Linked DNA regions of Nothobranchius furzeri. The protein of the gene in region 1 purifies or fractionates together with the protein of each later gene. This does not show direct contact. Links are inferred from orthologs where the notes say so. Each region holds a gene or a part of one and is shown in the gene's direction. Other genes may lie near its edges.

Region 1 (3,500 bases):
AGTATTAGGTAGTGATTTGTATTCAGTATGTACTTATTTCACCAAGCTGTATTGCCTGTTTATACCCTGCAGATTTGAAGGTCCTCATGTGGAGGCTGAAGCTTGGACAAGAGGAAGATCGTGGACACGACCATGAACATGCTGACCATTATCGGAGGAAGAGAAGCAGCTATGAACGTCATGAGTCTCATGAGAGTAACAGCACATGGGAGCATGTAAGCACATAGAGGTGCCTAATCCTGGTCCTGGAAGGTTGGTATCCAGCGTATTTTAGCTGTTTCTCCACTCCGACACACTTGATTCAGTGGTTGGATCACCTGTTCAGCAACACACCAAGCTCCCAGAAGCCTGTTAATCACCTGCTATTTAAAATCAGGTGTGTTGAAGCAAGGAAAACCACTAAAACATGCAGAATACTGGTCCTCCAGGACCAGGATGGGGCATCCCAATGGAGGAGCTGGTTTTTAAACCACTTCCTGACAAATCAGGATTGTTGTCTTATTTTTGCATGACGGCTAATAACATTTGAGCAAAGAGAGACAAAAACACAAAGTTTTTTCTGTTGCTTTCTTCTAGCGCTGTTTCTCAGCTGAAGAACTGGTCCGGATCTTTGGTCTGTCTGATAAAAACTCCTCCAGTATGGGTCGATCTGAAGTGGTTCAGCTCAGTCCTGCGCTCATCCAGCAGATCCTGAGTGGCTCCTGTGCAGCCACCACAGACTCGGTGACCCCAGATGAACTCTCCAAGACCGACCGTAAGTCTGTTGTTGACCTAAAGTAAATGCTGCCTTTCATGCCAGAATTTTAAACTTTCATCTGATGTTAAGAAATGATTGGGTATAAGGGAAATCCTAATTCTAACACGCTCTCTTAAAGCTGTGGTCCATGACATAGGAGAGTAGGAAATCTCTTTTCTCTTGCTTTCCTGTGGCAGGGTACCTCTACGCAACCCTCGCCAATGTGATCATCACCCTGGCATCCATGTTTGGGATCGTGGTGCTGCTGTGCACCTCGTGCACCAACATTTTCCAGTTGTGCATCCAGTTCTGCATTAGCATGGCTGTAGGATCGCTCACCGGAGATGCCCTGCTGCACTTGATCCCTATGGTGAGTGATTATTTTTTATCCTGACAATGATTTTCTATTGCACTGATTATAAGAACATAAATTTAGGATTTTTTTCTTTTGTTTTAGTTTCTGAGTTTACACATTCACTCAGATGATGATGATGATGCACGTCACCGACATTCTAGACAGAATGAAGAAATTCCAGACTACATATGGAAGATGCTGGCAACAATCGGAGGGATCTACATCTTTTACCTGATGGAAACCATCTTCTCTATGGTTACACAAGAAAAGGATCATCACCACCATCACCATGAGGTCAGATCAACACCAAACCTCTAATTAACATCTCAGCAAAGAGCTTATTTCTATGGAAGCATAAAGCTGCCACACATGAAAAAAAAACTTGGAGTGATATGCATTATAACATATTAACTTTATTGTTCTTACTAGGGATGAGTCAGATACTCGTTTCAGACGAGTATCCGGTACGGATAAAGCATTTTTGACGAATACGAGCATGAAACGAGTAAACCTCGTAAATATCTGTAATCGTGCTGAAGGAAAATCCTCATTGGGTAACTGACTCTCTTCACGCTCTGTGTTTGGCCAGTCACATAGAGCACCCGCCCCTCCCTACACACAAAACTCTCTAGCCGGCCGAGAGCGCAGTCCGTCCGGCTCATCCACGCACACACACAGACAGTAACGGATCTCGCTGTGATTGCTTCACTGTTGCTCACGTTTCTTCAGTTTTCCCTAGGTTTTCTTCAGCTCGCCTCTTTTTCGGTTGAATATTTAAAGTTACTTTTTTCGTAACTTACATGGTGCATTTGACAAGACAGAGCTGACATGCTGTGTCTCTACCTCCGCTCCGGTTGGTTTTTTTTTTTTAACTCCCTCTCTCTCCCTCTCTATCTCTCACACACACACACACACACACACACACACACACACACACACACACACACACACACACACACACACACACACACACACACACACACACATCTCAATCAACATTGTTTTGTTTAACTTTGTGTGGGAAAAATGCCAAGAACGTTAAGAAAAAATCAGTTTAATCAAATTAAAATTAAAAAATATATATAAAGTTGTGTCTGGTTCTAGCATTTCATATTTCCTAGTTCCTACTGCATGAGTTCAGATGTATTAATCCATGCACTTAAATATTAATGTTCTGATTTTATTGAAACACTTGTTCTGTAATAGTTCCTTTACTATTGTGATCAAAAATATTTACCGTAATCTCAATTCTGAGGTTGCTCTGTAAATAGTTTTCAAATAAACAATACACATATCAACTTCTGATCAATCCATATCAATTTCAGACTTAAAATAATATATTGATGTAAACCACACCCACTTCCGGTTAAACCACGCCCACTTCTGGGTTGTGCCACGCCCATTCCGAGTACAGATACGGATACAGATAATTTTGTTGGTTGAACAGATACAGATACAGATAGTGGTGTACTCGCTCATCCCTAGTTCTTACAATATGTTATCACATTTGTACAATATAGTATCATGTTGTAACAATATTATTTTCATGTTTGTACAATATAATATTTATATTGTAAGAAAGTGATTTACAAACGTGAAAATTTTATGGTAAGAATGTTATAATATATTGCACAAAAGTGAAAGTTATAGTTTTGTAACAATAAAGTTGTTATATAATGTATTTTGCGTGGGTGGCAGCTCTATACTTCCATACTTTATATGGATTTAGTCAACGAATTACAAAACCTCTGTTGGGTCTCCGCCGGGGTTTAACGCCCTTGGGTCCCGGGCCGCTGAGTTCTGAGCTCAGCCTTCCCTGGGGGCTTGCCATTATTGTCTCCTGGGCCTCTGGCACTAGCTTGGCCTACCAGACTCCTCCTCTGTTTAATTCTGCACAGAGAAAGGCTCTGGGTACTCTCCTAATCAAATAACCCCACCTCGTGAGAATTCTAACCGAGCCAATCAGCGCTGAGTAGCGTGTGTCACACACCACAACGCCGAGTTTGTCATTAACATGGCGACTGAAGCGGAGTTTGCTGCGGCTCTATCCTTTGTTCTAAATGACTTGAACACGCCTTTAAAACAACTAGTAGAAAAGCCTTTCATCTAAAGAAAGATGTTTGCGCTATCGCCAGACGCCATTTTTGACTACTGCTAAAAAACTACAGCGTCGTGGTCGTCACAAACAGCAACGCTCAGTTTCTCATGAACAAAGAACACAGCGGTGGAGTTCGCTGCAGTTCTTTCCTCTGTTCTAAATGACTTGAATGTCTTTAAAACCATAACAAGTAGAAGCGCTAAAAGCCTTTCTTCTAAAAAAATATGTTTGCGTCGTTGCCAGACGCAATTTTTGACTATAGCTAACAAACTACAGCGCCGTGCGGCATTTTCATTTATCTGATTGGTTAT
Region 2 (3,949 bases), on another chromosome or scaffold:
CATTGTCCATTTTCAAATAATGTGATTTTTGTTGTATGTAAACTTCTTGAATTTTTGTTCAGATCAAACCTCTGTTTAACATTACTAATGTGTGATGTTATTGTTTCTAAAATCAGTTTTATTGTAGTGAATAGGACGCTACACGCTTATAACTTTCTTTTTCAGGGCAAAAGAAAAGTACAGGTGTTCAAACTTTACAAAAGCGTCACTAATTGTATACTTGACTGTGGAAAATGTTTTTGGTGATTCTTTATTTCCCTCTAGTGTCAGCAAGATGAAATTACCTTATGAGTGGAATTAAACTAAAACATAACTTAATTATTGGTGTAGGTTGTTTTTTTCTTTTATTTCTTTATTTTTATCTCTAAAATTCCTTTAGAGTCTAAAGGAAGAAGGAATTTTTGTGTTTCTTATTGTCACACAAACCTGTTTTTTTCCTTTTCGTTTTCATTCATTCAAAGAAAGAAAGAAAATGCCTCTGCGCATGCGCCTATCTATTGTTTTCACGCATCCCCGTGCTTTTCCTGTAGCAAAACAAAGAGGGCGATCGTGACTAGCAGAAACTTCCATTAAATTGTCATAGCATAAAGCTAAAACATATATGTGCCGTTATGGACGTGTACGAAGGCTTCGATAGGCGCGCGCTACAGGACACTCTCCTTTTTGGTACATAAACGATCTTTGCAGCGAGGCTGGTCGTTGCGTCCATGATTTCTAGAAGGTGTCACACACACACACACACACACACACCAGTACAGGCGGAGTTTTCAGATGGGTGTGGCCCCTCGTGTGGGAAGTCTCACACACACACACACACACACACGCACGCACAAACACACACACACACGCACGCACGCACACACACACAAATAGTTAGCAGGGCGGTAGACACGGGTCTTGTTGAATGAATCATGGCTTAAGTCGGAAGTGGAACTGTTCGTGTGGCGCGATGGACTCCTGAGAATTCTGTTCTAGTGTTCCGGAGGTCAAGATTCATTCGTGGAGCTCAGAAAACCGGTTTGAGGTAAACTGTACAATTAAAAACGACTGCCTCGCATTTGGGTGAAACAGCTGCTAAACCAAGAATTTGACTACTTTTGGGGATAAAAAGTCGCATCACAGATTTCATCTGAACACCACCATCACGTGATCTCCTGAGCTTTAATCGCTGCTCTGTAATTGGTTGGTTGTAACACAGCTGAGCTCAAAGGTTCCTTTGATTGAAAGAATCAAGACAGGCTGGTCAAAGGAACCCTTACGTTCCGGGTGCTGGGGAGACGCTCCTCTGCTAAATTAGCTGACCATCTTCCCTGAAAAAGCTGAATATCAAAAGTTGTGACATAAATGATTTAATTCTAAACTCATTTATGGGCAGAATGGGGTTCCTGCAGCTGCTGAAATCCCAGTTCCTGTCCCACCTGTTCATCTGCTACGTGTTCCTGTTGAGCGGCCTCATCGTCAACCTGTTGCAGCTCTGTACTCTACCTCTGTGGCTGGTCAGTAAGCAGCTGGCTCGAAGGATCAACATCAGACTGTGCTACTGCATTGCTAGTCGTACGTACAAATCACATTGTAATCTCTTTTCTGTTGGAATTTGCTGCATTTGTAGCTTAGAGCTAATAAAAAAGGTGGTATTGTTGTAGTAAATTAAGGTCAGGAGTAAACAAATGATTATTTACCTGGCTACAGAGTTGGTAGCAACCCTGGAGTGGTGGTCCGGGACAGAATGCACTCTCTACACAGACCCAAAAAGCTATCCGCTTTATGGAAAGGAAAATGCAATTGTGGTTCTTAACCACAGCTTTGAAATTGACTTTCTGTGTGGCTGGACCTTCTGCGACAGATTTGGAGTTCTTGGGGTGAGAAAACTGAGAATCACAACACTTTATTTACCTCAATCAGGTGAACGTTTCATTACTTTTTTCCTCCCTCCAGAGCTCAAAGGTGTTAGCCAAAAAAGAGCTGGCTTATGTGCCAGTGATCGGCTGGATGTGGTACTTCCTGGAGATAGTTTTTTGCAAAAGGAAGTGGGAGGAAGACCGAACAACTGTGACGCAGAGTCTTCAGAACCTAAAGGATTACCCTGAACACTTTTGGGTGAGTTTAGTGTGGTCCTTGTCATTTCAATTTAAAATTAGGCCTATTTAAAAAAAACTGTCACAATTAAAATGCTGATATTTTTGCCACAAGTTCCTGCTTTTTTGTGAAGGAACGCGCTTCACACCAAAGAAGCACCAGATCAGCATGCAAGTGGCCCAGAGCAAAGGTCTGCCAAAGCTAAAGTACCATCTTCTTCCCAGAACCAAAGGATTCTGGGTAACTGTCCAAAACCTGAGAGGCACTGGTCAGTAACTGAACAGATTTTAGACATTATAGCGTAGCATTAGCTCATCCAGCTGACTGTTGTGTTTTGCTTTGCAGCTGCAGCTGTTTATGATTCAACACTAAACTTCAGGGACAACGAAGTTCCGACTCTGCTCGGAGTTCTCAACGGAAAAAAATATCATGCAGATTTGTATGTGAGGTAAGATCAGTGCAAATAGAGTACTATTATATATGGACCTGCAGTCCAGCACAGACAAGGGGGTGTGTTGCCAGTCTCCATTGGACTGTGAGTCGGATTAAATGCAAAGTAAAGTACTTTTACTTTTTAAAATTTTTGGAAGATGTAGTGGAGTAGAAAGTACAAATAACTGCTTTAATATGTAGTGGGGTGAAAGTAAAAAGTAGGCCTCAAGATAATTACTTTAGTAAAGTACAGATACCGTAAATCCTCTAATACAGGCCTGTATTCAATTAACGGCCGGGTATCATATTTTGGCCGGTGTCGGAGTCGGCGGAGGTGAATAATGGCCGTTTTTTAATTGTGGCCGGGTGGAATGTGGTAACAAGCAAGTACGGGGGGGCGGTTGTGTCATCAGTCTAACTTTTGATTTGCCAGCGATAGACCGCGAGGGTAACTTTAACCGTGCGGAGACGAAGAGGAGGCGAAAATTTGATATCAAGTTCAAAAAGAACGTTCTGATTATGCTGCAGAACACTCTGGGGAGCAGTAGCAGGGGTTGTATGAACTAGTCACTAGTCGACTTCACTATAGTGACTTTTTATGCCTGTCATCGACTAGTCGCTGTCACGTGATAATGACCGGCAAGATGCAGTCCTCGGAAAAGACAGCAGCCTGCTGTTGGCAGGTGACGAGCTCCTGCGCGTCGGGAGGGGCAACGCGCTGTACCAGAGTGTCGGTACTGACACCCGCCGTAAAACGGACATTTAACCAAATTGTGACGTTTACCCTCTTGCAATTTAACCTTCCCCTCACCCCCATCCTAACCTTAACCAGCTTGCGCATGCAAAGCTCTGATTTTTGAAGTGTTCCAGACATCTGCGTCCTGAGCACGGCCACAGTAACATCAAATCAGGTGTCGCCACCTCAAAAACTAATTCAACATGCGATCGTTCATGTCGGCTCATTTCCTTTAATGTTTTCTGTCTTTTATTTGCGCCTGATGCGTTTCACTGCTGTGGAGCGGGGCGCATCACCTTGTCCTCCGGTGACACACCTCACCGGTGCGGCCGGCGAGCAGCGAGCACTCCACTGTTTTTGCGGTCGGTAGATCTTTTAGAACTGCAGTTCAAAAGTAACTCATAAGGTGAATATATATGAACCCAGGTAGCAGTTTTTCTTTAGGACTGAGAGGAGATGCAGGAAGATAATAAACAGATACAGGACTGAAAAATAGTCAAATAAAAACAAGTTAGTTTTTGTACCTGGTGGTTGCAACAAACAGACACCATTGAAGGTAATCAGAAGTGAGGAACAGAAAATGAAATAATTATTTTAATGTTTAGATCAGCAGGATCTCCGAGAGGCTGCAGGTGCATCAGTGAGTTTGCGGCCGCTGCGCAGGGGGAGGGGGGAGAGGGCTGAAGCAGAAACTACCGTTGTTAA

The links. The genes of interacting proteins can lie anywhere in the genome.
Region 2: the proteins of slc39a4 (region 1) and 1-acyl-sn-glycerol-3-phosphate acyltransferase delta purify together in Homo sapiens (affinity purification with mass spectrometry; 3 studies listed by BioGRID and IntAct, with this or other methods). This does not show direct contact. The link is inferred for Nothobranchius furzeri from reciprocal best matches to the Homo sapiens genes SLC39A4 and AGPAT4.

The regions. Positions count from the first base shown.
Region 1 is NC_091759.1:4,708,895-4,712,394, reverse strand, and holds part of slc39a4 (zinc transporter ZIP4), read left to right. Parts: intron 1-72; coding exon 73-215; intron 216-576; coding exon 577-754; intron 755-933; coding exon 934-1,106; intron 1,107-1,193; coding exon 1,194-1,385; intron 1,386-3,500. UniProt on the Homo sapiens protein: Selective transporter that mediates the uptake of Zn(2+). Plays an essential role for dietary zinc uptake from small intestine. The Zn(2+) uniporter activity is regulated by zinc availability.
Region 2 is NC_091752.1:17,897,645-17,901,593, forward strand, and holds the start of 1-acyl-sn-glycerol-3-phosphate acyltransferase delta, read left to right. Parts: upstream 1-1,149; 5' UTR 1,150-1,367; coding exon 1,368-1,554; intron 1,555-1,689; coding exon 1,690-1,859; intron 1,860-1,935; coding exon 1,936-2,097; intron 2,098-2,190; coding exon 2,191-2,344; intron 2,345-2,421; coding exon 2,422-2,524; intron 2,525-3,949. UniProt on the Homo sapiens protein: Converts 1-acyl-sn-glycerol-3-phosphate (lysophosphatidic acid or LPA) into 1,2-diacyl-sn-glycerol-3-phosphate (phosphatidic acid or PA) by incorporating an acyl moiety at the sn-2 position of the glycerol backbone.